4 linked regions of the Caenorhabditis elegans genome follow. The protein of the gene in region 2 interacts with the protein of the main gene of each other region in a pairwise test. Each region holds a gene or a part of one and is shown on either strand. Other genes may lie near its edges.

Region 1 (7,725 bases), on a different chromosome or scaffold from region 2:
CAGGCAGAATTTAAGTGCAATATTTCAGATCATCGGAAAGTCTATCGCTGGTGCATTCACCTCTATCAAGAAGAGCTTGGATATTGAAAATTAATATTTTTAGACAAAAAAATGCTCCCTCCACATTGTTATCTCATTTGTTGTTGTTGTTTTTTAATTGTTTTAATCAATTCCCTCTGTTCCCCTTGAAATGTTCTTCCAATTGTTGAATTTTAATGTTTTTTATTCAATTGAAATTGTTTTTTTTGAAGATTTAGTTCTTCCCAAATGACACAGCGAAGAAAACCTAAATGTTTCGAGGACTTTTGAAAATCCGTTTTTTCCTCCGATCAGTTTCCTCAATGATCAGCACACTGCGTCGCCACGATCTACACAGTCTCTAACTTTTGTTCTTTCTGCAAAAGTTACACTGATAAGAAACTCGTTGATGAAAGATAGTCTGTGTCTCATGCTCTCTCTTCAATGAGACGATTTTCGAAAGACACTTTCTCTGCGTCTCTTCGTCTTATATGATTTCTAGAAGCTAAATGTCTATCAAAGTCGTATCAGTTGTTTTCGGTCACTTTTTGAAAGTTTTTGAGAGACAGATCAAACGACGCAGAAGTTCTCTCAAAAGTTGGTGAAATAACGTGGAAGAATGAGAGAGTGGGAAAAGAAACAGGAATCATTGAACATTTCCGAGAAGATTACGGTAGAAGCTTCCGAACAAAGTTTGAATAAAGATGAATCTTTTTGATTGTCTTTTTTTAGCCATTAAAAAATGAATTATCCAGATTTTCCGACAAAAAACTTTTAAAAAATTGTTTTTTTAATTTTCAAAAATCGAGAGAAAAAAGTAAAAATTCACTAGGAGAACATTTGAAATTTCTTGTGGATATGGTAGTTACAATGTTTTGATCGTGTCGAGACCCAAGTCTTTTCTTAAAAATTGTTTTTACAAAAATCAACACTTCCAAATATATACATTTTTTGTCAAAATGTCCTTCACTTCCTTTTATAGTCAACATTCAGTTGCTGTCAACAACCACCTGAAAAAGTGCACCTAATAGTAAATGTGTACATTGAAGTCAAATATTTTGAAAACAATTTTTTTTTAAATCAGATTGATAAGAATCCGGAAAAGAACAGTTGTTACTATTTTAATCGACACTAAACTCCGCCCACAAACTACCGTATAACTCGTTGATCTTTTGAAAAAAAAATTCCATTGAGTGATGTTTGCTGTTATGGAGAATACCACAGTTCTGGTGAATTTCACAAGGAACGATTTAAAGGTGACTATTACATTTTTGAAGAACACGACGTGGGAAAACTGAACTTTGCTCATTGATAGAAAATGGAATTCGATCAGGTCGGTGTTTGCTTTGCGACCCCAGCTACCTTTTTCCATTAAACTCAAATTTGAATATATTCCGTACAAGCACTCTAATTGACCTACTCGTACCCCCGTTTGATGACGTAGACAGATCAAAATACGCACTGAATTTAGCGTCATTTGGTGCCGCGCGGACACCGCACGGAACATGAGACATAGAGATAAGAGACGGACTCTAATGATTTCTGATTGTTTCTAGTAAAATCTGATCATTGATGAGTACTTTTGATGAGTGAATGGCCTTTTAAGATTTCAGATTGATATATTGAAAGATATCTGAAAAATTAAGGTGTGGCTGAAAAAGTGCTAGAAATTGTTCTAGAAGCATGCTTTCTTCACATTTATTCCCGTCCGGCTCATCTCAAATATTTCATAACGGGTTTAAATCGTAATGGCAAATTATAAGAATCAAAGCGGGCGAACTGAAGGCGCAAAAAAAAAAACAAAAAAAAAAACAAAGTCAATCGTCACCAATTTATTATGGCCGGTGTTCTGTTTCATTTTAGAGAAAAAAAATAAAACAACACGATTGAACAATCAACAAACAAACAGATGATCAGTAGAACATCAGTTTAATATTACACGTACCAGCACCCTTGAAATCAGAAAAACAATACGCCATCATTGTTCACATAATTTCAGAACAGAAAGCTACACAAATCACAAAATATTTAAAAATTGAACAGTGGTTCGCACTCAAAATTGACTAGTGATCGGGAAGATGTAAATAAAACAAAGACAGAGTACAAAGTTTCAGAGAATTTTCAAAGATGACAAAACATTCAATGTTCTCGTGATTTTATTCTTAATTTCCAATTGTTTATTTCTAGATATTTCTTTTTTACAGAGCTTGAATCGAAGTCACCAAATATTGCTAAAAATTTTGGATGTAGAACTTTTGAAACTATCATTCTGAACGTCTTGGTAAATTGACAAAATTCAAAACTGCGATTAACTTGATGCATTGTTCCGTAATTTAGCACCCACAATAATCCAATATTACAATTTTTAACTCATAGAATTTTTTTTTGACAAGTTCCAAATACGCACATAAGCTATAAAATCTCTTTAATTTCTTTTTCATACGATATTTTCATTTTAGAAATTGTGCTATTCCACCTCCAATTCATAATTTTTACGAGGTCATTGTATCCTTTAACACTTTTAAAGAGTAAAAAACGTTCAGCAAACTCATGAAAACAGAAATTCTCTAAATTTCCCAAAAAGTCAATTTTTCGAACATTTGGCAATTTGCCAAAACTTTGTCTGAAAGATTTCAAAAAATCTAGGATATTTCAGAATATAATAATTTGAATAATTTTTAGTATATTTTGACAAAATTCCTACTAGCGCTACTCCAAATACTGTATTTCTTTCGAAATTTAAGACTATTTCCAAAGAATAGTTTGCAGTAAAGAACACAATTTACTTCTATAAATAGAATTATCTAACCGTAGACTAGTTCCTTTCTTTTCAGTTAATCATTCCATCTTCAAAAGTCATTTTCCTCGTTCTCCGTTTCGTTGTAGTCCCCAGTCTCTATGTCACAGATCTGTCCATGTGAATTGCACATGAAGTGGGTGGAGTCAGATGTCTCATTTTCTCTGCGTCTCAACCGCTCCGCCTTCAACATTTTCCTCCATCATTTCGTCTTCATTCTCTTTTCTCTCCACTGATCATTAGCACTTTTCCTCTTCTCTCTCTCTTTCTTCTGATTGAAATTTCAACTGTTGAAATTTTGATTTTTTTTTCTTCGTTTTGAAACCTGTTTTTAAGATCTAAATTTTGTGTTTTTCCAGCAAAATTCTTGCGCCGTTAACACAATGGAGTTGCAAAGAAAGCGCAGTTTTAACACATCTACAGTATCCCATGACTTTAGAAAAGAGTTCAAGGGCTCCTTGTAGGTTAAGCTTCAATTGCCTAACTAACTTGAATATTCAATTTTTCAGTTTGGAAACCAAATACCGTAAAGTGAAGAAAGACGGAAAGAAGAACGGACTCAAGTCGATTGCTGAATGGCTATTCACAAAGACATCTGCCAAGAAAAATGGAGCACCAGTGACGTCATCAGCTGAGAAAGTTTGTGCGAATATGGTGACAGTTAAAGAGAAGCCAACGTATTTTGATGTGAGTTTTTCGGGTAAAAAACAATTTTATCAGAAAAAAATAGTATTTAGTCAAGAAAGTATATGAACGTTCGTATTTTCGACAGTTGATATATTTGCATAAATAGGAATTTCAAAATTTTTGAGCCGTAGGTTCAAAGGGACGTACCATATCAAAATTTAAGTTAAGTTAAATAAATGAAACTGCAAAAATATGTTTTGTTCTATGCCACCATCAACATGAATTATAACCAGTATGTTCAATGAACAGACTCAAACGTTTTTTCGTTTCCTGTTCAGGAAATTTTGATCAAAAACAAGACACCGGGCATCCCCCGGGAACAGCTGTCCCTCTGGAAGTCTTATGATTTCTCTCCACAGATATGTGTTAAACCAAACTTCACGTGAAGTACATGAAGAAACCTAGTGACGTAAAACATAGTAGATGTTAGACAAAACGTACTTTTTTAAATGATAAGGTGATTGGGATCAATCACATGATTTCTTTTTGTAGTTCTCAAATTTAGTGGTCTCTGTTTTTAGTTTTTATAGTCTTATTTTCAGCGCATCCCAAATGAAATTCTATTTGAAATTTTGGAAAACTGCAAATCCACGGAGCCATCCACTGTTCTCGCTGCGCGAAGATTATCCCGACGATTTAATGCATGTATGGATCATATTGCTGATGTTAAAATTAATGTGGTAAGTTACTTTTCTTTTAAATTTAATTCCTTCTAATTTTAAAATTTCAGCTCTCCCGCCTTGTGATTTCTGGACTCGGAAAGAAGGGGATTGAAATGCGATGGGTTAGCTATGAAGGTCAGAAGACAAAAACTACAGTAGTCCCATGGAGTACGGTTAGATCACCGAGAAGTTCGTTTGAGTTCAACTTTAGACGATTTGCAATTCAAAGAATTCTGTTAAAGGTAGGTTTACAAGGTTGAACTATAGAAAAATCAATGAAATATTTAATTTCAGAATGTTCCACTTTCGGATGATTTGATCGAATTTCTGCGTCGCCAATTTCAGTATGCAGATCTCACAAAACTGATTCAACTTTCCCTATCTCAAGTTGATTTCTCATTATCCAACTGCCTCTCCCTTCATCGATTCCTTGCCCCTGTCGCAAAAACACTTGAAATCTTCGAAATCACTCAATGTACTGGAATGCGAGCAGATTCGGTAACTGACGAGCATTTGGCTCAACTGGATGCTCCAACGGTTCGTAGAATTTGCATTGATGGAGTACGATTCGCGTCGAATGCCACACGTAATCTGGATATTGGAGACGGAGCATTGAGACATTTTGCAAGACTTGGAGCATTTCCAACAATGATTCTGGATCGATGTGCAGTTACAACTAATACAGTATGTGATTACACAAAAGAATGGTTCGAGCAGTGTAATGAATCGGAAAAGCAGTTGAGAAGTCAAGTATGCACAGTCAAGAGGTGTCCAAAAGTTAAAGGTGAGTAAAAACCACGAGCTTTAAAATTATTATTAACCTAAAAGTAAAATTGTTGAAACCAAACTACATTTTTTGAAAAGTCAGGTCGACTTTTGTCAGAACGTATTCCAGACGCGAAATTGTCCGATTTTTTGCCAAGAATACGGTACCAGGTCTCGGCACGGCAAATTTTTGGAATCTTCAAAAAGGTGCGCGCCTATAAAGACTACTGTATCGTCAAGCTTTCATTTCTGCGGAATCGTCACAACGATTTGAAATTACAGTACTCCTTTAAAGGCGCACACACCTGTCGCATTCAACCAAAATTGTCGTGTCGAGGCCGGTTACCGTATTTTGAAGCAAAAATCACAGCTTTAATACATAATCAATAAACTATAATATATTCCAGGATCTCAATTTGAATCCGAATGCCTTCGACGTGGACTTCGATGCAAAAATCGCCGTGGCTCGGGCTCATTGACATTGTATAATGTGCAGGAGGAAAATACAAAACGCGAATTTACAATTGCTCTGGCAGCTCTTGAAGACAAAGAATTGGCTGAAAAACTGAAAATCTCCGAACAAAATTGCAATAATAACAATCTTCTGACTGTTCCACCTTCCTTCCAACTTTAATCAATTCATAGAATTTATTTTCCAATTGATCCCCCCTTATCTCTCGATTTCCCAAACATTTTGGGTTTTAGAAATTGTCTTTATAAGACCACAACTTCAAAATGACGTGTGCCTACTTGTATTTGTACTTGTATATTTTCTTGTTTCGGGTTTCTATTTTTCTAAATTTTCGAATTTCTGATGAAGATTTCATCGTTTCATAATAATTCTTTAACATGGAAACAACAGAAGGGGAACATATAAAATTAGAACGGGGATATTCTTTGAGAATAAATTAAAGCATTTGAACCATCTACGTTAAAACGAATAAACACAACAAAAAAATGATAAAATAAATGAAACATGATTAAATGAATATTCACATGAATGGAATATTATGGATGCTTCTTTTTCGAACGGCGTTTCTTCTTGTCTTCCTGAAAAATTATGGAATTTTATTAAATTTTAGCTGATATAATTTTGAGACTTAATTAAAATTGTAAAATTAGCACACTTATCACTCTAACGTGACCGATAATCATAATGAAACACTACAAAATTCTTAGATTTCTCAAATTTCAAGTCAAAGTTTTTTTTTGTAAATTGCAACCTTTTCAAAAATGTGAAATTTTTGGGTGATTTAGGGATTTTTGGCGAATTTTTTTGATTTATCAGATTCGAGAAAAAAATTTAACGCAATTGAGATATAAGAAAATGAAGAAAATGTCTGAAATTCTGGCCGACTTCTAAAATTATGATATGTGAAACAAAAAATGTTCTCTGTAATTTTTCGGTATCAATAAATTATACTTTATGTTTCAAGTAAGAGCCAAAATCTTTCCAGTCGACTTCTGCCACGTCAGTGCATTCCCATTCATCATTCGATTTTTCGATTTCAACCATAACAGGGCGGAACACATAGTTTTGTCTGAAAAAATGCAACGGAATTTAAAAAATTATAAATTGAAAGTTAAAACGCCGCAAAAATCTCACCGTTCCTGGGGGTCTTTGAATCGGAACCAATTGTCAAATCCTTCATATCCTAACAAATCGAGTAATTTCTTCATATTTTTTGTAGTCACATTGATAAACATTTGACCGGAGAAGTCCATAACTCGCACCTGAAGTTTTTTTGTAACGATACTTCCCAAAAACTAAAATTCAAAAAATTATCTAAATTCAGCTAAAATCTCAAACTTTGTCAACTTGACAATGTCACAACTCGCAGAAGTGAGTTCCGACCGCCGCACCACTGACAAGTCGGAAAAATTTGAGATTTTAGCTGAAAATAGGCTATTTATCCAAAACATTAAAAATGTTCTATATTAGGAAATAGGCAATATAAATATAAAGAACATACTCTAGAATACATCGACAATTCAGATTTTCCTTGGGAATCCTTACAAAACTCGCATTGATTCGCTGCTTCTGGGAGAGAGTGTTTGCATTTCGAACATCTGAAACCAATATTATTATATTAATTATCAAGGAATCAGTATGTACCCTGCATAAAAATCCAAATTTAAATCGAGTAAGTTAACTTGGACAACTGTTTTTTTGATTTTCGTGTCTGACAATTCGTGGATAACTGAAATAATAATTTTTTTAGGTGAAAACTCGAAATGGCTCACATCTGGGTTTGATGCAAAACGGCTTCTTGGCAATTGAATGGCGTCGGATACCGGATTTCGCACCATTTTCCTTATTTTTCAGAACTCTATCAATATAGATTTCTGTAACATCGCCTGAGCTTGCTGAAAGTTTACGAAAAATTAAATCAATAGCTACAATCGATTGAGCATTACATTTTTTACAGACTTCCGCGTCGACATGAATTCTGTCGCCAAATTTAATATCAGAGCCACGATTGTAGCTACAAGTGGCCAGGATTAGAGGAGTTGAGCTGGATTCTTGAAGAATAATTCGGAATTTATCCTTTTCGTAGATTCGAGAAACACGCAAAACATCGGCGTGGATTTCTGAAAAAAGACTCCGGATTACGAGAATTACGGAATAAAGAACAGTTTTCAAAAAGGAGAGCCAATTCTAGAGCTTAACTAACCTTTAAACTCCTTCTTCTTTTCTTTTTTCGAATGTTTTTTACTTTTTTTAGAAGAACTGCTGGTTGATTTTTTTGCTGGTGGAGCTTCGAAATCTTCGAAACCGCCGCTAGCCGGCCGTTT
Region 2 (5,875 bases):
CCTATAATTGTTTGAAATGTACTAAAAGGGGTGATAGAGATTATCCAACAACGTTCATAGACCGCAAGATTTGAAATGAAACGCTTTGCGAATTTTTCGAAACTTGGGCGCGGTAAAAACAAAGTCTTGCCAAAATTTTTGAAGTTTTGCGAAAGTTTGAAAATTTTGTAGGCCCATATTCACAAGCTCACATTTTGAAAAAGACTTTCTCACCTATTGCAAGTGACCCGAAAGATTTTGTAAAACCAGTGTCTTTTAGCACATTGAAAACGGCAAAGGCGTTTTTTGAGATGTAAACGTTCTGAAAATACTTCAGTTTCACAATTTTACTTTTTAAATATATCTGTTAACAAAGTACTCACTGGTTTACTCCAAAAATCGCAACAGGAATAAATTATCCCAAGTACTGAAAATGAAAACATCAAGTATTTATATCTACCGAATGTTTTCTTTGGCATCATGCTTATCAACAATAAAAGTACTGAATTCAAAGATATTGAAAGAGAAAATCCAATTGTTTCAGCATACGATGTCAACTCGATCCAAGAAGTAGAACACATTTCTGCTTTTTAGCAAAAAAATGAAGAATTTTTGAATTTTTCGATCTCGTCAAAATGTTGATGTAACTGGATGGCTTTCGTAGAAATTACAGAGAACAATTTTTAACATACAGTTTGTATACTTTTTCTGAATGCTGGAAATTGTGATTTTCAGGAATGTATAATATTTTTGGATAGTCGAGACATTTTTGGATAGTCCAGTCAACAAGAACGCGAATACAATCCGAGATACGAGTAAAAATAGGAGAAAACGGGGTTTTTATATCTCAAAAATGAATTTATTATGAGAATTCAATGCAAAAGAGACAAAAAAGCAAAGGACATCTAGAGACGAGTCAACACGAATTTAGAAATGTAATTTAGCAGGTAGACGAGGATAAAACCAAAAAACGTATTCGGGAAAAACCCAGGCTCTATGCAGAAATATGCATGAGGCAGATAAGGTGGTCCTCCCCACATCACGCAAAATACTAACTAATACAAAAACAGAATCGTAGTGTCTGTGGTAGGCGTGTCTTATTAGCTTCCTTGTCAAGACACAACATGATGTACCGGAAATTTGACAATCGTATGTGATGGTTATTCCAAAAAACAATTGTATAGGCGTAGACAGGGCAGTTGTGTTCTGTTATTAGTTATCATACGATTATTGTCACGTCAGCCCCATGGTAGCCAAAATGAAAAAAAAAAAAAAAACTTGGTGACCAATGGGCTTTAAATGCACCTTACTCGACAGAATCACGTGAGATAAACGACCAAGATTATTCTCGGTCAAAGGGAAAGAGAACACATAAGTCCCATCCTTCCGAAGAAGTTCAACGTGTATATTCTTTCCTGATGCACAGGACAATAACTTTTCAGGATGAAGAAACAAGTCTAAATTTTTTAAAACCTAGCAATAATTTTTATGGAAGAAAATAAAAACACGTATTTAACTGATGTTCTACCCACTTTTTGTTTTACCATAGTTGTTGTAATATTTTTCACAAACTGTATTACTTTCAAATTGTTTATAAAATCACCAAATTATGGAGCACGACTTATAGAAAACTTACGGCTATGAAATTTTTTTTCTTCTCAACCGAATTATCCATTGTATTATTTGTACGATTTTTCTTCCATAAAGCAGAAAACACACCAAACGGCGATTTCTTTCTGCTACCTACAGTTACTCAATAAAACTAATTTTGTTCGTGAAGAACATGCGTATGAGTTTTTGAAATTGATGTTTCTATCTAACTTTTCATTTAGAGTAAGAAAATGTTCACAAAATTTTTTACGTTGAGAAATTTATATTTCCTTTTTACATGACACTTTTTCCATTAACACCATTAAGAAATTGTATAATGACAACTGGAATTGCTCTAGAAATTTCACAAAACATTTTAAAAGTACTGAAAGTTATTTTTCATCGAAAAGCATTTGAATTTAATGAAATTTTTCAAAGGCATTAACTTTTAATGTTCATTTTCCAGTGTCACCATTTGTATTAAAAACCGTCCGCATTCATGTTTATCACCCCTGGGCAGGATCCTTCCTAGGACACGGTAGTACATAAACTAGATGGTTTGGCTTAAGATACCCAGTCCGAAAACCTATATTGACTGCTATCTCGAAAACAAGCCGCAAATTTTATTTTGCGATGCATATGAAAAATGACCACAGGACAATTCTCCATCTTTTCTATTAAGAAATTTTTGAGTTGAAAATTTCCTAACCGGTGAAATTTGTGTTCGTACGGTAGATCGCGTTGGCACTGATTTAGTTGTTGTACCACCGTGAGGAAACAAAAACCTTCGCAACCGCGCTCTATTGACACGGGAGAGTGCGACTCATTCAGCATCAGATTGCCTAAAACGTTTTTTAATTGTTTTTATCACGGTTTTTACGCTTAAAATATGTTTTGTCCGTAGAAAAACATAACTATTTTCAGTAAAATCTAATAAAAATTATTTTTAACTGAATTTCAAAAATCATCTCAAATTGCGAAATATAAAAAAAAACGACTGTTTGTTAACCGATATCGAGCAGGAAAGTTAAGTCGGCCAATTTTCTGACCCCTTTTAACAAATTGCGGTCTGCCAATAAAAATATTTAGCATTTTCATAGCAATTCATTTTTTTTCAGAATAAAAAATTCGTGGTACTTTTTCATTATAAAATTTGGTATTTTCTGGCAATTTTGAGTTTTTTTTAAACTTAAATTTAAAAATAAAGTAACTAGACTCTGATCCACATTTAATTCAATGTATTCCACTGAAAATTGTCTTTTTTTCGTTCACAATTTCATACATACATTACTCAACAATTCGTCACACTTTCTCACTTCTCTCTATCTCTCCTCCCATCTTTAAATTCCTCAGCCTCTTATTCTCAAGTTGTGTACACTGTTCCTATCAACACAAATTTCGACATTTAAACGTAGCAAGGCAACGTTTTCCAGCTTATAAACCAACCGAGGTATCAGACATTTGCTCACTTTTCTGTTCTTATCAATTTGAAAATGAGTACATTCTTTTTTAGTTAAATTTCCAATAGCACACCGTATTTCCTCTAATTGTATTCCACCCCAAAGTTCAACTTTGTCAGCTTATATCTCAGTCATTGTTTGTCCTATTTAAACATTGTCAACTGACAAAATATTTGTTAGTTTTTTTTCCATCATTTCGTAATTAATGATAAACTCATATCTTCAAAATGAACCGAGATATAACGTTTCAAAGTTAAATAGTCAGGTGCAATACTAATAGAGGAAATACGGTAATTGTCAAATTCAGTATTTTCTTGGTTAAAACTTGAGAGGTTTTATAATCAAAATGCGTACCAAAATATTTTCGTTCAATTTTTTCAATTTAAAATTAAAAAAAAATAAATCTTTGATCTTTTGAACACACTTTACTAAAAAATATATCGCATGACGTTGGACACTGCAATTTGTTTCGAAATGTGTACACACACCCCATTCTCTCCCTTCTTCAAATATAGATAAGGGAACCGATGGTTTTCATATTTCACATAAAATACTCAGCAATTTTCGTCTCTTTTCTGCTGAAAGTAACTTTCGAATTTTTTTTTCTTCTTGAGTTGACTCTTCGACTCTTGACTGTATTTCAAATTTTCCAGATTACACAAAGAAATCGAATATTTAAAAAATGTCAGACGCCGACAGCCAGAAACAAATCAAGCTCACCTCTTCTGATGATAAAACTTTCACGGTATTTTTTAAATTATAATTTCCTTTAACTAAATAATAAAATGTAAGTTTATAGGTCTCACGAAAAGTGATCAGTCAATCCAAGACCATCACAGATATTATCCAAAACCTTGGAATTGAAGAATCTGGATCCACTTCTGAAGACACGATTCCACTTCAGAAAGTGACTTCTACTATCCTTGAGAAGATTATCACCTGGTGCGAGCATCACGCCGACGATGAGCCAAAGAAAGTCGACGAAAACAAAAAGACGGTAGACATTAGTGAATGGGACGCCGAATTCATGAAAGTCGATCAGGGAACCTTGTTCGAAATTATCTTGGTAAATATTAAAGTTTTATAAGCTATTCTCCAGAATTGAACATTAAACCGATTTCTTTTTCAGGCCGCCAACTACCTCGACATCCGTGGGCTTTTGGACGTGACCACCCAGAATGTGGCTAACATGATGAAGGGTAAAACTCCAAGCCAAATCCGAACCCTCTTCAACATTGAGAACGATTTTTCCGAGGAGGAACGGGAGGCCATGAAGAAGGAAAACGCTTGGTGCGAGGATTAAGCTCCCTGGTAAACATAATTAACTTGAACTTTATCTGATTCGGTTTACATACCTCTTTTATGTCACTTAAAACAAAATCAAAAATTATTTTAAACAAAAAAAAACTTTGTCTGTCAAGTACGCTTTACATTGCTTCCAACAAAAAATATAATTTAAATAAATGTATAACGTCTGTATATTGTGTAGTTTGTTCATTGTGTATGAATTTACCATTTGCAAAAAAAAAAAACTTTGGCGGCCAAATTTGCAGCCAACTACTGTTTTGACTTGTAAAAAAACTGTTCAAAATCGTTGTAACGTTTTTGGAAGTATTTCAACTGATCGAGAAGAAAATTGTTTAAAAAATTTGGTTGCCTTGGGGGAATCTGGAGAAAAAATAGGAAAGAAATTTGGGTTTGAACATTGTTTTTGAGGAAACAGTTGCAAATTAAATGAAAATCTCTAAGCCAGGACCTATGCCAAGGCCTAAGCCTTAGCCTAAGCTTAACCGTAAGCCTAAGTCTAAGCTTAAGCTGAGCACTACTAGTGAGCAAAATGGGGGTAATGTGTGCATATAACAGCATCAGAAAAATAGTCAAAATTTAAAGAAAACTAATCACAATCTCACAAGCTTTAAGATCCAGGAGAGATTCAAGCTGTCTAGTAGAATAGGATTTAAGCTCGCCGAGGAGAAATAGAAGCCTTCCAGATTTGGACTTTGAAGACTCCAGGTGCAACTGATTGAGAAGGCCGATACAGATATCAAGTTGGCGATCGAATTTGAGATCAGTGCCATCTTTGGCTGAAATTTTAGTTTCTGAAAGCTCAGCAGCTTTTCTAGTTAAACTTACTTTCCGTGAAAATAATAATTCCCTTCAAGAGGAAATAATCCTGCGCCGAAAGTTCGAGGGATTTGAATTTCTCAGCCAGTTGTGCAAATTTTTCATCGATGAAGATTTTTTCGGAGTTTTCGAACAACGCGAGGCACAAAAGATGTGGCCACTGGGTCAGTATGATCTGGCTCTGGAAATTTTTTTAATGACTTTTATGTTTGGCATTTAGACCTTTTCAACATCGGAAAGCACTGCGAAGAGCGAAAACTGTTGCACCCACTGGAGTGCGTTTTTCAGATGAACTAGCACGGAGCTTGTGTCCTGAAATTAAATTTGTGGTGTCTCAGGTTGATAGTTTGTCTCCTGATTAACTAACAATTTCATGTTGAGCATGTTCGTGTTGGAATCTGAGACGATCAGAGTGAGTAGGCAGAAGTCCCTTGGAATACTCTCGGAATGAGGGCAACTCGACATACTCTACAGTGTAGCTATGGGAAGTTCTCTCGGGTTGCACAGCTGGAAAATAATTATTTAGAGACGAAACTGTGTCGCCTTCGCCGGCTTCAGGAGGCTTCTGCCGGCCTCAGGCCTTTGTTAATATGGTGCGGCGCGAAACTCAAAAAAATGTCGGCCACTGAAAAATACCTACCGCACTATATGGTGCAAACACAAAGTTAATGATCTGAAGCCCAAACTCAGAGAAGCAGCTTACCATTCTTATTCATCCCCTT
Region 3 (9,014 bases), on a different chromosome or scaffold from region 2:
TTAAGGAGCCTAAGCGTAAACCTAAGCCTAAGCGTACGCCTGAGCCTAAGCCTGATCTTATGCCTAAGCCTAAACCTTAGCCTAAGCCTAACCCTAAGCAAAATCCTAAGACTAAGCCTAAGCTTAAGCGTAAGCCTAAGCCGAATCTTAAGCCTAAGGCTAAGCCTAAGTCTATGTCTATACCTAAGCCTAAGCCTACGAATAAGCATAAGCCTAAGCCTAAGCCAAAGCCCAAGCCCAAGCCTAAGCCTAATTGATGGAATCAATTTGAAACTTCAGACTTAAGCTTCTTGGTGGCCTATACGACTCTCTGTTAAATTTCGCTTTGATCGGCCAACGGGAACCCTTTGAAAAATGAAAAAACGCTATAAACCCAAGCCTAAATAGCGTCAGCTAACGCTCGCCACTGACGCCAAGCCTAAACCTGCGCCTAAGCCTACGCATGGGCATAAGCCTAAGCCTAAGCCAAAGCCTGAGCCTAAGCCTACGCCTACGCCTAAACCTAAGACTAAGCTTAATCCATGTTCCTGTGGTTTGCAAGTTATGCGCCTTTAAACCAACCATTTAACCTGATGAATCGTCGCATCTTCCTTGCTTAAAATGAAAATTTCCACTTTAATCCTATCCTTTGGATAATCCAAATTCTCCAGCCAACCCAAAAAGTATGGAATTGCGTGGGCGTGCTCACCGAGCCCAACCCCTATATACACCGGCGGATAAATGTGCCGAACGTCTCCCTCATCTGGCTCAGCTCCCGGAAATAGAGCCCACGAGCTCAGAAACACGTGGAAGAGTAATAAGCAGTGTAGAAATTCGGTCATATATTTTGTGAAGGGATTCTGGAAACTTTTTATCGATTTTTTTCAAAAAAGTTCTAAAAAATATTAGAATAGTAGAATTTTTTAAAGTTTCCATTATACAGTGAAGATTGGAATTTCTAATTGCGATTTTTACGCCAAAAAATAAGATATCCCGGTCTTGAAACGACAATTTTCGTTAAACGCAAAAGGATGTGTGCCTTTAAAGAGTACTGTAATATCAAACTTTCGTTTCAGCGAAATTTTAATCGATATTTCAAAGTTTTTCTCACAATTTTTGCTGAAATTTATGTACGTTTACTGTTATATTTTTGAAATAAACAAATGTTTAAAGTAAAACTTTTTAAAAAAATCGAAGAAAATTACACAAAAACGAAAATTTGAAATTACAGTACTCTTTAAAGGCGCACACCTTTTCACATTTAGCAAAAATTTGTCACGTCGAGACCGGGTACGGAAAATTTCGCGACTGTGTAATAAAAAACAACTGAAAATTCAAATTTCCCGGTCAACGCAACGTGGAAAGTTAGCCTTCAAATAGTAGTCTATAAACAGAGAAGACTGAGCAAAGCATTAGTGTGAAGACTCAGAGCAGTGGGAAAAAGTGCATCTGGTGAACAGACGGAGGGGTCAGAGCAGCAGTAGTGTCTCATCCAAATTGTCTTGTTGTAATAATTCGTCATCGATTTTTTTGTTGTCTGTGGTTCAAGTGACTACTCACCTTTTTGCATTTGGCCTTGAAAAAACTGAAAAATTCACTTGGAAGTTGAATTTTTTTTTAATTTTTCCGAAAAAAGACGAAAAAAAATCAAAAAGGTTTACCGAGTATACGGTTTTTCGAATATTCTACACACAAACGATTTACAAAACCCAGGACCATTTACCAGAGAGCGCAAAATGAAGCCAGGACCCGCTTCTGTAAAGAAGAACAATCGAATAAGGAGGGACTTGGAGAGGAGAATAAGTAATAGAATACAGATGGTGTTGAAGTTTTCAAAAACACGGATATGAAGGGAAGAAGAGGGTGGAGAATAAAACTGGGCGAAAAAAGTAAAGGGGAAAAATAGTTTTTAAAAGAGAAAATAGAATATTTAAAATGAAATGAATTAGGCGAGGTACTCATAGAGATCTTTTTGTCCTTCTGTACGGAGCATATATTCCTTTTCGATGAGTGATCCAATGCATCTCTTGATCATTTCAACCTTTGGCTTGAATCGACCGGAAAGTTGTGTGATCACCTGCAAAAATATCATATTTAGAGGGTTTTAGATGTTTTTTCTTTGAATTTCCAAGTGGAGTTTTTTAAAATTTCAAAGAAAATTCGATTTTTCCGGTGATTTTTTTTTTTCAAATTTCATGGAAAACTTGATTTTCCACGTGGATATCATCTTTTATTTTAGGGGTTTTAATTTATTTCTTCAGAATTTTGTGTTGAAAATGCACTACGAAAGCTCGAAAATTTTGAAGATTTTTTTTTCAATTTTTACAGAGTTTCTACCAATTTCAGGTGAACTTTTTTTTTGAAAATTGAATTTCCAAGAGAATTTTATCGAAATTTCATAAGAAATTCGAATTTCGACGCGTTTTTTTTACGAAAATGTATAGAAAATTTGAATTTCCACGTAGATTTTATCAACAAATTATGAAAAACTCGTTTTTCCATAATCAGATTTTTTTCGAAAGTTCATTAAAATTAAATTTCCACGTAGATTTTATCGATTTTTTTCGAAAATTTGAAATTTCCAAACGAACCTCTGTCATAAGCTGCTGATGCTGTACACGTTTGCGAGTTTTCATGATTCTTACGATGCAAGCCTGAAATTATTGAATTTTTCTCTCCAAAACCGCCGATTTCTCATCAAAAACTTACACTAATCACGCTCTTCCGATCCTCCTCAACATTTTTCTGCACATTTTCCGTATCACGCACGGCGTCCTGCTTCATCGTGAATTTTGACAAATCGACACGAACTTTCTTGTTCATGTAGGCTTTGTTGAGGCTTACGGTCGCCGTCATCGGTACTTCATCCTCTTTTTGGAGTTCTGTGTCCGCTTTGAGCACAAGATTTTTGATGAGAGAGCCGACAATGGCTGGTGCTGACTTTTCGTCCATTTTTGTGGCAGCGGCGATTTGTTCGACAGTGTACGAGTCCTGTTCGTTGAACAAAAGCATTGTGCACATTTGAGCAGTTGTGGCCTGGAAAATTTTAGGTTTTTAGCTGTTATTCGATAAAATCCAAGTGAAAATTCAAATTTTAGCTGGGTGGCAGATAGTAAAATTTTGGACTTTTTTCAGGCATTTTCTTCCGGATTTTTAAAAAATATTTTTAGATAGAAATTCCACGTTTAAACTTACAGTAAACACATATTTCTTGGGAAAAGCTGTAGAAGTGATCTCTCCACGACTCTGCGAGTAAACCCACGTGAGCCGACGTCCATTGAACTTCTCATTGTAGAATTGTCCAAAGATCTCAATAGTCTTCGACAGCTGCTGTGGAAGAGTTATTGGTGTCGTTGGGAAAGTCGGCCATGAGCCCGAACTGAGCACGAGAACATTGAATTCAACGGATTTCTGGCCGAGCATATCCGCTTTCTTTTCCTTGAAATCCGCGGTTAAATCCTTGCTGACTTGAGTATCGTTGACCATTTTCGAGAGACGGGCGGTATACTCGTACCCGCACATACTCTTGAGCTTCGTGATAAAGTTAGCCTCGGCTTCATCACTTGCTGAGAGTTCACTGATAAGTCGTTTGCTGAACATTTTCGTGTAGAATTTGGAGAATACATCCTTATCGTCAATGTACTTGAACACAACCATCTGGAATAGAAATTTTAGAATTTTGAGCTAACTTTTTAGAAATTGGGTTTTCATTTCTATGGAGGTTTGAAATATTTTAAATCTTTTAATCCTTTAATATGGCAATTTTAGATAAAACCTCAAATTTTCCCGTATGTCGGAAATTGATTTTTAATTGATTACTGGCGTTTTTCGTTGATTTAGGTCGATTTATAGCCACATTTAAACGTCAGAAAAAGGTAAATAATTGAAAAGTTGGGAAAATTGCCGTATTTTTCGAAATTTTGAGAAGCCTCGATATGAATCGATATGAAAAAATCGGTATGAAAAACGATATGAAAAAAAGGAGAGGAATCTGTTTTTTTTTTTCAGCGAAAATCTCAAATTTAGCCAACTTATCAGTTTCGCAGTGTGCACTCATCGATCGAAAATGTTCCTCAATCAACGAAATAAACAACCAAAATATGCAAAAAGTTGGTTAAATTTCAAATTTTAGCTGGAAATTACGCCATTTTGAGAAAAAAAAAAGCGAGAAAAACCTACAATCTTCGTCTGCAACTCCTCGAGCTCCGCCTCATCGGGCATCTTCGAGCTTTTTCTGAGCAGTTGATCACAATATCTGGCAAGAAGCTCCGCGGACTTTGTCAACTGAGCCTGTGGCGGGGCACGTTTAGTGACGGCATTATTATTGATAAAAGAAGTCGCCGCCTTATCGAGTGATTGCATGAATCCTGGCTCATTTTTGAATGATCGATTGACAAGGCTTTGATAACGTTCATGAACCTCCAGAAGCGTCTTCACGTAGAGTTTCGCGTCGGTTGCCGCCTCCATAGCAACTCTTTCCAACGCCTGGTGACCCTCCTTTGCGATGTGATTCTCCAGGGATTTTCTGAGCTCGTCGAGTCCATTCGGCACTCTATCGCAAAGCTTGAACATTCTGGAAAGGTCATCGTCTCGTTTATCGACAAGAAGACCACCGAAGTGTCTCTGGAGGAAGTCAAGCTGATTAGAGATGAGCACAGATTCACAGCAAGTTGCAAGTGGAGTTTTTGTGGAAGAATTCAGGTAGAGTTGACAGCGATCATCCTCTTGATTAAGTCTTGTCTCCACTTTAATCATGTAATCTGTCACATTTCCTCCGTTGCTCAGGAAATTTGCCGCCTCTTGGGTATAAAATCCGCGGGTCGCCTCCAAAAACTTGACTTCGAAGAATTCCTTGTAAACGGCCAGCTTCTTGGTCTCCGCGTCCTTCTTCGCATCGGTCTCCGAATCGTCAACACCCAACTCCACAAGACACTCGACAACTCCAGAAATGTATCGGCTGTTGATCATGGATCCGGTTCTCTCGGAACGAATCAGCTCGAGCATCGCATCAATCACCTTATCCTTAAGATCATTGAACAAGTTACGCTTCCAGACGACCAACGCAAGTGTATAAACCATGTAAATGTTCTCATGGCCCTCGTCGAGCTCACGTCTGATCCAATGACGATTGAGGTAGGCAAAAATACCATCCATCACCTTCGACGAGATTCGGAAGTTCTCCCATTCAGTTGTGTAGTATTTCAGAAGATCCTCGCCCGACAACTCGGCGCCCTTTTCACAAACAGCGATTACGTACGCTTTTACATATTCCTCAACACGCTGGTACATCTCGTGACCGACAAAATCCGCGCCAGCGGTTCGTGCTGGAGTTGAAGATTCTGCTCGACCGTCTTCGCCGTCTCGGCGGCTTGTGGACAATGTTATCGATGTGCAGTAGTCATAGACGCTTCTGAAAATTAAAGATTTTATTGAGTTTCTGTGGAATTTCGGGGGGAAATCTTACGTGTAAAGAGTCATATAGTCTTTTGGCGCCATATTTTCTCTGCGATACGCTACATCAAGTCCATCTTGTAATTTCTTCCAAACCACCTCGGAATCACACGTCATTCTTCTCGGTTCGCTATTTGTCATACTGAAAAACACATTTTTAAAAAATAATTGTCGATTAAAATCAAGGGATTTGTCAATTTCGCAAGAAACAGAGGAACGAGGAAACAAGGGCCCAAACGCAAACGCGCTCCAATCCAAAATCATCATGTGTTGGGAAAAAGTCACCGAAGGTGGAAATAATGGGCTTGAAATTGAGAAAATTTATGAGATCCCGGAAAAATAGATGTTTTCAAAAAAATTGGAAAACTGGAGCAAAATTGGGGGAGAAATATAGATATCCTGGAAGAATAGAAAAAAAAGACGAAAATCCAGAGCCATCACTGAATGGGGATACTTGTGAGCCAGCAGACGTTAGAAATGACTCGATAGTGAGCCTCCGACTGGAAATTAAGAAGACGCGCTGAAAATCGCGGGAAGACAGTAAATCGATTGCCCTCGGACGCGATTCTCACCGCAAATCGATAAATTTAACTGGGAATTGGAGGGAAAATAGGAGATTTTCTAATTTGCTAGCCTGGGAAAAGGGGAAATTAAATAAATACATAAGGAAATTGTTCCAGCGATAATTCTAGCTTTTCAAGTGATACTGGGGAAATAAATTAAATTGTTCTTAACAGGAGATTTTCAAAAACTCTGTGAATTTTGGAAAATTTTCAGATGAAAGACACCTAAATAATAATAATTTTAGACTATTTCATTTTCCCCGGGACTCAGGAATTTCCAAGAACAGAAAAAAAGCGAATTTCAGTTGATTTTTCAGAGCCCATTTCAGTGAGCTAAACACCCTTGGAGACGGAGACTGCGCGACACAAGCTAGAGACGCCTCATCTTGTGTCTTCATCGATTCTTAAAGAAATTCTGGTGAGTACAATGGTTCTGTTAGTGCACAAAAGACAGCTGAGATGGCGGGATGATCTGGAAAAGAAAGGTCACAGGAGGGAATGATTAGCGGCTGTGCAATGAACGGGCGGAGTTTTCTAAGGTTTTAACAATAGCAAAGTTTGTTTTTTAGGTGTTTCGATGTGCAAAATACACGAAAGCGAATTTTTAATAGTTTAAAGTTGAAAAACGCGTTTTCATTCGAGAAAAACTGGAGAAAACATGCATTTTATGCAGAAAAAAAAGTAAAAAAAGAATTCGATAAAACAACAGGTGGAAAACAGATTTTTAACTGTACATCGATCCTGGCGATGCCCAAAGGAAATTTTAATTAGTGGAAGTAATAATCGAAGTACTGTAGAACTAGGTTTTTTAAACAGGAGCCCATAAAACTGTAATCATTTTTTATATTTCTATTGCGGAAAAGAGGAGAAATTATTCTTTCACAAATAAATAGACAAAAACTGAAAAAAAATGAACAAAAATCGCTGTAAAACTCGAAACAGTTCTTGGCGGGACTCGGTAAACTTATTAGTTCGTGCGCCTTTAAAAAGATACTGTACCTGGAATAACAAGAAAAAACAACATTAATTAAATCTAAGAACATTTTGTATTCTTACAAGACTTACATGATTTATCAGAATATGTTGCAACTATTTGGTATAAAATAGGAAATAAATAGTTTTAGAATTTTCACCGTAATCATATGATCGGTGAACAACGGCCGTGAAAAATAAAAAATATTTTAAAATGTGAATAACAAAAAACCAATACATAAAAGGATTGAATAAATAATTAAATTTATTTCAATATTTCGAAAAGCTACATTTCTCTATTAGCTACACAGTTTCAATCGATTTCGTGGTCAGAATCAGTATGGAAGAAATTCAAGCGATCACAGAAGGAAAAGTGAGTTTCTCTGAGCATTTTCAGCCGGAAATTCACAATTTCCCTCAATTTCAGATAATCGCAAAGCGTTGGAAAATCGTTGAAAAACTCGGCGAAGGCGGTATGGGTGCGGTGTTCAAAGTACGAGATCTGACCCGCTTTCAGACATACGCCGCAATGAAAGTCGAGGGAGACGTGAGTGACGGCGGGGTTCTGAAGCTGGAGGCTCACGTGCTCAAATCACTGGCTCCACTGCCGTTTTGTGCAAGATTGATGGATGCTGGCGATCGAAAATCGTATTGTTTCATGGTGATGACTCTTCTTGGCAAGGATCTGATGGCTCATAAACGGGATGCTAATACTCCGAGATTCTGTGAGCAGACGACTCTTCGTCTCGCGATGGCAACGTTGTTTGCTATCAAACAGATTCATGAAGTGGGATTCACTCATCGGGATATTAAGCCGGGAAATTGTGTGACCGGGGTTCATGGGAGTGACGCCAAAAACGTCTATCTTATTGATTATGGTAAATTTTTACGAATTTTGACGATCCCGTTACTCGACACGACAATATTTTGTTTGATGCGAGAAGGTGTGCGCCTTTAAATGAGTACTGTAATTTTTTTTAACTGTTTTCCTTATGTTGCGTTTTTTCTCGAAAAAAAAACACTTTCCAGATCCATCCTCTGAATCATGAAAAACTGAAATGTACAGTAATCTTTAAAGGTGCACGTCGCATTCAACACACATGTTTGTCGTGTCGAGACCCGGCACCGTATTTTTGATTCAAAAATCACACCAAACTTCGTTCAGGAATGGTCCGTCAATTCACCGCCAAACGAGAGAACGGAGAGACCGCACTCCGCAGAGCTCGATCCGGCGAGCAACTATTCCGTGGAACTCCTCGCTATTGCAGCATGAACGTTCACAATCGGAAAGAGCAGGGACGCGTCGATGATCTCTGGTCGTGGCTCTACATGCTCATCGAGCTTCATTGTGGGCTCCCGTGGCGCCGACTGACCGATGAGAAGGAGATTATGGACGCGAAGATTGCATGCTCCATGGAAACTTTGTTGAAAGGGTGTCCCAAGGAATTTGCGAATATTCACAAGTACCTGGAGACACTGGAATACAAGAGCCGCCCGGATTATTTCGGCCTGTGGAGCGAGTGCTTTGCCGGTTTCAAGAGAGTCCGTGGATCGTTCTTTGGCCGATTCGAGTGGGAGCTTGGGAAGGGCGGTGGTGAGGAGATGTTCACGGCTCTGTCGATCAGTGAGAAGAGAGCTCCTAACGATTATAAGGTGGCGACGAAGATGCAAATGGCGAAGAAGATCTGGCCGTATGCGGATTCTGCTCATTTTAAGAAGAAGATCCTCAATCTTTGAACTATTTCTGAACTGATTGACCCCTGAAACTATGAATTTGTGAAAAAAAATACAATGAGCAATAATTGATGTTTATTACATCTGGGGGACGGGGGAAAGGGGCATTCACTAGAATATGAGTAGTGTGCGCGAGATGGTTGAAGATAATAATGTTAAGGAAATAAATTATAGATTTTGTTGTGGGGGGAGGGATGGTATTGCTCAAAAAAAAAGAAAAAAGGAAGGATTATTGGTTTGGTTTTACAAGAAAAAAAAAGAATAAGACGGTCTCGGAAACGGATAATCAGGAAGGCAGAGCGAGAGAAATAACGA
Region 4 (7,415 bases), on a different chromosome or scaffold from region 2:
TTCGTCAAATAACCCTCCCAACTCACGTGGTGTATTCATCACGAGAATCTTGTTCGCCGATGCGGCTGGCACATCGATATTGTCAACTCCAGTCCCGGCTCTTCCAACAAGCTTCAGCTTCCCAGCTGATGCAGCCAACAGCTCGGCGGTGATCTTCGTGGCGCTGCGAACAATGACGGCGTCGTGCTGTGGCAAGGTGACGAGAAGCTCGTCCTTCGTCTGCTTCGTCTTCACGGTCACCTCGATTCCGTTCTGCTTCAGAATGTCGACACACTCCTGCTCGATGTCGTCGGCGATGAGGACTTTGTTGATTGGGGCGCTCATTCTGGAAATTGGGAGTATAGTTTTGGAATAGTAATTTGAAAAGAGAATATACAGTTTTAAACTAAAAAAAAATAAAAGAAAAATCTTTAAAAAACGCAAAATAATTGTTCTTATATACCCTCTAATGTCACGCAAAGTGACGTAATCTCAGACGCTACCCCGCCCCTTTCCAGGTCAATTATAGATTGTAAAAGTCACGTAGACAATGACTATATTCATCGATCTTGCCGAGATAAGGTGAAAACAAAGATTTACAGCGTCGATATAAATATATCGATTATGGTATTAGGAAGAGTCACCACAAAAAGACTGCATGAACAACACGATATTTATGGGCTGATGCTGCTGATGGTGGAGGCTAGATAGCAAGTTTTGACTGGCCGGGGGTGGAGGAGGAAAAAACGAAGAACAGGAAACGTCGTTGAGGTCAAAATGGCGGTTATCAGTTATGGTCAGTCGACGTCAGAGAACACACACACAATGGGGTAGATGGGAGTAAAGTATCTAGATGGGGAAAGTTTGAAAAACGGGAAAAAATGTTGTATTTTTGGCATTTTGTCGACTTGGCAGGAATTTAAGTTCATGTAAAACTGGCAAATTGTCAATATTGAAATTTTTGCCGAATTTGCAAACTACAAAAAAAATATAGAAAATTCATGCCAAATTGGGAAAAATGAAAATTATTGCCAAAAAAAGGAAATTCTTGCCAATTTACCAAAATGAAAATTCTTGCCAAACTGACAAATTGCCAAAAAAGGAAATTTTTTCCAAATTGGCAAATTGGCAAAAAATGTTAAATTCTCGCCAAATTGGCAAATTGCCAAAAAAAAGGAAATTCTTGCCAATTTGCCAAAAAAGGAAATTCTCGCCAAATTGGCAAATTGCAAAAAAATTTTAAATTCTCGCCAAATTGGCAAATTGCCAAAAAAAAGGAAATTCTTGCCAATTTGCCAAAAAAGGAAATTCTCGCCAAATTGGCAAATTGCAAAAAAAATTTAAATTCTCGCCAAATTGGCAAATTGCCAAAAAATTTGCCAATTTGGCAAGAGTTTTATATTTTGATCATATTACCAAATTGGCAAAAAATGTAGTTTTTGGCAAATTGGCAATAATTTCCTTTTTGGCATAGTGCCAATTTGGCAATTAGGTAAGCTTTTTTTTGCAATCTGCAAATTTGTCAAGAATTTTAATTTTCGCCATTTTGCCGGATTGGCGGAAATGTAATTTTTGGCAAGAATTTCTTTTTTCTGGCAAATTGGCAATTATTCATTATTTGAAATTGCCAATTTGGCTAGGATTTTCATTTTTTGGCAATCTGCCAATTTGGTGGAATCTAGAATTTTTGCCATATTACCAAATTGACGGACTTTCCATTTTTGGCATTGTGCCAAGTTGATAAGAATTTCCTTTTTTTTGCACTTTGCCAATTAGGCAAGAATTTGAATTTTTGGCAATTCGCCAATTTGGCGAGAATTTTAATTTTTGGCCATCTGCCAATTTGGCATGAGGTATAAATTTTGACAAGTTGCCAATTTGGGATAAGTTTTATTTTGGGAGTTGGGCAATTAGAGGAGAATTTCAATTTTTGGCAATTTTCTAATTTGGCAAAAAATTTTCAACAGCGTTTTATGGGCAAAAACAATTAAAACTGAATTTTTAGAAAGTTAAAATAATTCCAACAACAATAATTCTTGTTAATTAAATTTTTCGGTTGTGACAACGTCATCACAAAACATTCTAAACCAATTTAAAGATATTGAGTCCTAAGAAGCTAAAACTTCAAAAATAAATTATATTTTCAGCATAGTTACACCGAAAACACACCGAAAAGAAGAGAGAAAATGCGTTTATGGTCAGCGAGCGGCAAGAGACAAAAAACGAACGTAGAAGGAGAAGATGGGCAACACACAAAAATGTGACACATTTAGAGAGAGAGAGAGAGATAGAGAGAAAAACAAAAGACGCGAGCGGAATACACAAAAATGGGTGCAAAACGGGTGTATGAATAAATAATGGGCAAATATTGGAACAAAACGGAGGGTTTTGTCGGGAATAAAAGGAATATTTCAATAGCTCATAGTTAAAAATTTCAAGATTTTCACAAAAATGAATGTCAAACTTTAAAATTAGTATGGGACTTATTACTGTTGTGATTTTTGATGAGATGAGTTCAATTCTACCAAAAGGACACAATTTTCATTTTTGGTTTTCAGTACAGATAAATTATTATTTTTGAAACATTTCACTAAATCCGGGCCTTCATATTTCACTCAAAATTAACATTTTTCAGAATGTTTTTACAGAAACTTGTTTCAAATTTTGAGCTCTTTTTTAATTATATAACGAAATTCAGCTTTTTTTTGTTGCTATAATGCTATTTTTCTAGGTAGGGCACTTTTTTGCTCAATATGATTATAACCAATGTGCAAGAATTTCCAAAAATATTTAAAATGGTAGCATTTTGAAAAAAAATACTTTTTTGGGGCTTTTGAAATGTATATCGTAGAAACAGAGACGGTCATACATTTGTCTAAAAGATGAAAAAATCTGCTATTTTTTTAGGTAAGACACTTTTTTGCTACATGATAATAACCAATGTGCAAGAATTTCCAAAAATATTAAAAATGGTAGCATTTTGAAAAAAATACTTTTTTGGGTTTTTTGAAATGAATATCGTAGCTACAGAGACGGCCATACATTTTTCTAAAAGAACAAAAAATCTGCTATTTTTTTTAGGTAGGACACTTTTTTGCTAGATGAACATAACTACTATAAAATTTTTTTAATGGTGGTAGCATTTTGTTGCTCTTATGGTGCAAAACGACCAAACATTTAATTTTTTTAAAGTTTGTCCCCAATTTAATGAAAAGAATACGGTATTCTACCGGTCGATGCGACTCTTATCATTCTACTTCCAATTTCTCACTTGTTCTGTGCTGCTGTCTCTCCCCTCTCATATTTTTCATCTCTCTTGTCTATTTCTCTTTTCCATCTCCACTGCTTCCCCTCTTTCCATTTTCCCGCATTTTCATTGATTTTCCGTCCAATTCTAGAGTTTTTAAAGTTAAAAAGGTCCAGTAAAATGCCTGCCATCCTGGAAACCAACCCAATTGCTATTCGAGCTTGCATTCTCTACGAGGTCCGCCAAAAGCGGCCAATTTTCGAGTCTTTCAAGAATTTTTGCAATGCGTTTGGAAATGATTTTATGGAATATCGAGAATTTGAGCGCTGGTTTTATCGATTTTATCATGGAAACGAGGATTTGGATTATGATATGAGGTAAGTGTAAAGATAAGTTCTAAAATGTAATTTATTAGAAAGAAATTCAGCCGGGAACCAAAAACAGCATCGCTATCCGAGTTGCCAATTGAAATATTGTTCAAAATTGTGGAAAACTTGAATTTTCTGGACAGGTTAGTTTTAAAAAATGTTTTTCTTTGAAAATGTATGTTTTTTGGACGTGGGGATTTTTAAAAAAATATTCTTAAAATTAAGCAAAAAATATATGCATGATCAGAAGTGGGCGGCAATTACCGTTCGGCAATTTTTTTTTGTCGACAAATTTGGCAAATCGGCAAATTTCCGGTATGCCGATTTGTTACCAGAAATTTTCAATTCCGGCATCTTGCCGATTTTTCAGAAATTTTCAATTCCGGCAACTTGCCGATTTGCCGGAAATTCTCAATTCCGGCAATTTGTCGATTTGCCGGAAATTTTTAATTCCGCCAACTTGCCGATTTGCCGGAAATTTTCAATTCCGGCAACTTGCCGATTTGCCAGAAATTTTCATTTTCGGCAACTTGCCGATTTGCCAGAAATTTTCATTTTCGGCAACTTGCCGATTTGCCAGAAATTTTCAATTCCAGCAACTTGCCGATTTGCCGGAAATTCTGAATTCCGCCAACTTGCCGATTTGCCGGAAATTCTCAATTCCGACAATTTGTCGATTTGCCGGAAATTTTTAATTCCGGCATATATGAAAACTTTAAAATTAACAAAAAAATAAAAAGTTTTACTATGAAACTTATAAAGTAATTTCAATACTAGTATCTGAAAATTTAAATTAGGTCTTCCATAAGGTCAGGCAGGCAGGCGTTAAAACTCCTGCCGGCCTGACCTTAAGGTGACCCACGCCTGCCTCTCGCCTCAAAACGCGCCTTATGCTTCATTTCATAATTGGAAAATGGACAAATTAATAGAAATGACAAAATTTGAAGTTTGAAGATTCACATAAAATGTAGAAAATTTTCAGACAGGCGTGAGGCCCTGAAGCCGGGCCTGCCTTGAAAGCCCTACTTTAAATATTTCAAATAACACTTCCAAAAATTCAAAATTCCAGACTTCTCCTCCGCAACGTCTCGCCATGCTTCCGCAGCATCGCCGAGGATCACGTCAACGAGGTCACCAACATCTCAGTGACTTCTATTCCAAACCACGTACATGTATGCTTCTATCATGAAAGTGACTATACAGATATTATATGTAAACGTGTGGATGATGATTGTGTAATTACTAAAATGTCGCAATACGAGGATTCAAAGGATTGGAAAATTGAAGGAGTTTCTCATGTGACTGTTGCATTGAACTATCTGTCTAGGGTATTGAAGAGCCCGAAGTTGAAGCTGGAAAAGTTAAGACTGGACTTTTTGGAGCATAATAAAGAGGATACCCAGTGTATGGAAGAATTATTAACTGTGCTTGAAAATTCCGAACCCCATGTTCTGAACATTGAATTCGAAGGACTAAACTTCCACGAAACATCTAGTGTTCTCAAAAACCTGAAAAATGTTGAAGAGATACAACTATCAATGTACAGTATACAAGAGTTGTCTGGAATTGAGAAGCTCGTTGAGCTGGAGCAATGGAAGACAGCAAAGACACTTGATATATCGAGTCATGAAGACATTGAGATGGATATTAAAGATTTGCTGCACTTTCAATCAATTGATGTTCGTCTGAAATCGTTTTCAGTTCAGGATGCGGTTAAGGTTAAGGAGGTGAAATACTGGAAAATGTTTGACCCTAAATTAAATTTTATTCTGATTTTCAGACCCTCGAACTCCGCACCTCTGACTTCAGATCAGGAACGTTCAGAGTCCTTAACACAGATACTCGAAAAATCGGAAAAGTATTCAACCCAAAATATACAGACGCTGCTAACAACACATTCAACTTCAAGACTAAAAATTCCTCATTTGAAATAACTATGTGTTCCAAGGAAATTTATGTTAAACGGAAGCTATAAAAGGAGTCTAGCAGTCATAATTCCACGCTTATTTATATATCTTGTTGCCATAAATTGAGTTTAGATACTTTTCAGAAATAAAGTTTTATTAATGAAATATAATACTGTGCGCCCAACTTCCCCCTTAATTTTTCCGTTTTACCACATTCTGAAATTTTTTTGAAAAAATGGCTAATGCCATTCGATTCCAAATGTCAAAAACCCCGTGTCCACAATTTTTATGAAAATACATGGGCAACTACAGAAATTAGATCAAAAAATCATTTAAAAAAAAACCATAAATGTAATTGCAAAAGAAGAGTGTTTCAGATTCAAAATTGTGATAATAACATTATTTATAAGCATTCTATTCATATTTGAATGTTTTTGAAAAAATTGAAAAATTGAAGAAAAGAGAAGTTCGTCTCGATATAGTGCTATTTTTAGGATGTTTGAAAGTCCGCTGTGAGCTTGCTTCTAGAGTATCGCCGCTAAAAATTATCGAATGACTAGGTCTCATATGCAAGCCCAATTGGCCCTTTCTGACGAGCCCCTTGTTAGTTGAGCTTTTATGTTAATATTTCGTTTATTCGCACGTTGTTGTTAAATGAGTTGTATGAGTTGTTAAAGTTAACGTAAAACAAGGTTTCTTCGCTGAAAAGTGGCTGGTTGTTAAATAAAGTAGGTTTAAATTACACAAAATTTACAGAATTGCTTTGCTCACGGAACAATCGCTTTACCGCGACTGTAATAAACAAGCTCTAAAAATATTCTCAATTTGTTTGCATTATCATGTGGACGGTAAATTCCGGTGTGAATATGTTGGAAATCTATCGTGCCACACAAAAAAGTCGGTACCCATGTTTTGATAAAACACAGTTGCAAGAAGGCCATCATTTCTTTCTATATCGTATCCATCACTACAATCAACGCGTTCAATTCCGTCGCTGAAAAAATTTAAATAAAGTTTGACAACAAAATCCAATACTGCGGAAAAAACAAAAAAAAATGCCTGTATCTCTAGTAATCACTTTGCGCGGAAATATTAAACTGAACTCAGTTTTCCCTACTAATTTGTAACTCAAACTCCAAGAACAACGACAAATTGTTCTTGGAGTTTGAGTTTACACGACAAAAATTTTTAAAATGGTTCCTACGACTTATTGTCTATGTTTTAAAGTAAAACACCAAATGTATGCTTGATTAGTTTTTTCAACTTCAATTTTGCTTCAGGCACTACTTATTAAAGTTATATGATCATTTTCAAATCGATATTTGCTCACTCTGAAAATATTAAAATTTTCAACAAGCCAAATTGACCGTTTTCGAAACTATCCAAAACATTTTTTTTTAAAGTCAAATTTTTGTCCCCACTTTGATTGGGAGAAAGAAAACAGTGGTTCTGCAACCTGTGACAGTAAAGAGGAAAAAAAAGAGAGAAACGAGTAAATGGTCCAATGTGCGTTATTGTAGCCTCATCACGAGGTCGCCTCTTCCCAATCGACTGTATTTTTACGAAAAGAGTTGTAAATGAGCTCTATCGCTGTTCCCATCACTTCCCAGAAGAGATTACTCCTGGGAAGTGGTACAGACATAAACATCATGGTACCTGGTACTAGATGCGCAAAGATACGCAAGGAGGGTTGGCAGGAGGTAAAAAAAACCCCAAAATTGTTTTCTCAGAAAATTCGAATTCCAGCCAAAATTGAATTCCAGCCAATAAATTTGAATTCCAGCCAATATCTCCCAGGAGAAATGTCTCCTGGGAGATAAGCGATGGGTGCGCGATTACTATCCATTTGGCAGAAAGACAGTGTCTCCCCCTTCTCAGCATATCTTCTATTTTCTTTCCCTCTCTGTGCCTAAT

The links.
Region 1: the proteins of skr-3 (region 2) and T07E3.4 interact in a two-hybrid assay, tested with the Caenorhabditis elegans proteins (one study listed by BioGRID).
Region 3: the proteins of skr-3 (region 2) and cul-1 interact in a two-hybrid assay, tested with the Caenorhabditis elegans proteins (2 studies listed by BioGRID).
Region 4: the proteins of skr-3 (region 2) and fbxa-167 interact in a two-hybrid assay, tested with the Caenorhabditis elegans proteins (one study listed by BioGRID).

The regions. Positions count from the first base shown.
Region 1 is NC_003281.10:6,894,842-6,902,566, forward strand, and holds T07E3.4 (F-box domain-containing protein), read left to right. Parts: upstream 1-3,174; 5' UTR 3,175-3,198; coding exon 3,199-3,275; exon of another isoform or gene 3,276-3,324; coding exon 3,325-3,502; intron 3,503-4,044; coding exon 4,045-4,182; intron 4,183-4,232; coding exon 4,233-4,406; intron 4,407-4,458; coding exon 4,459-4,948; intron 4,949-5,336; coding exon 5,337-5,563; 3' UTR 5,564-5,764; downstream 5,765-7,725. Other genes in the region: K04C2.2 (DNA polymerase V), read left to right, coding at 29-94; DNA repair protein brc-2, read right to left, coding at 5,938-5,979, 6,353-6,470, 6,536-6,663, 6,903-6,999, 7,046-7,130, 7,174-7,296, 7,348-7,521, 7,605-7,725.
Region 2 is NC_003283.11:16,118,142-16,124,016, forward strand, and holds skr-3 (Skp1-related protein), read left to right. Parts: upstream 1-3,682; 5' UTR 3,683-3,711; coding exon 3,712-3,774; intron 3,775-3,828; coding exon 3,829-4,095; intron 4,096-4,158; coding exon 4,159-4,332; 3' UTR 4,333-4,507; downstream 4,508-5,875. Other genes in the region: str-103 (Serpentine receptor class r-10), read right to left, coding at 1-1, 214-301, 363-560; Nuclear hormone receptor family member nhr-111, read right to left, coding at 4,914-5,113, 5,163-5,334, 5,376-5,465, 5,521-5,660, 5,857-5,875.
Region 3 is NC_003281.10:10,467,795-10,476,808, reverse strand, and holds cul-1 (Cullin-1), read right to left. Parts: upstream 5,573-9,014; 5' UTR 5,572-5,572; coding exon 5,444-5,571; intron 5,390-5,443; coding exon 4,159-5,389; intron 3,637-4,158; coding exon 3,175-3,636; intron 3,016-3,174; coding exon 2,689-3,015; intron 2,634-2,688; coding exon 2,571-2,633; intron 2,057-2,570; coding exon 1,925-2,056; 3' UTR 1,680-1,924; downstream 1-1,679. Other genes in the region: D2045.9 (Glycosyltransferase 25 family member), read right to left, coding at 562-821; D2045.5 (non-specific serine/threonine protein kinase), read left to right, coding at 7,306-7,338, 7,393-7,843, 8,131-8,702. UniProt on the Caenorhabditis elegans protein: Probable core component of multiple cullin-RING-based SCF (SKP1-CUL1-F-box) E3 ubiquitin-protein ligase complexes which mediate the ubiquitination and subsequent proteasomal degradation of target proteins.
Region 4 is NC_003280.10:13,638,156-13,645,570, forward strand, and holds fbxa-167 (F-box domain-containing protein), read left to right. Parts: upstream 1-3,333; 5' UTR 3,334-3,406; coding exon 3,407-3,603; intron 3,604-3,653; coding exon 3,654-3,737; intron 3,738-4,663; coding exon 4,664-5,321; intron 5,322-5,374; coding exon 5,375-5,569; 3' UTR 5,570-5,668; downstream 5,669-7,415. Other genes in the region: phdh-1 (D-3-phosphoglycerate dehydrogenase), read right to left, coding at 27-324.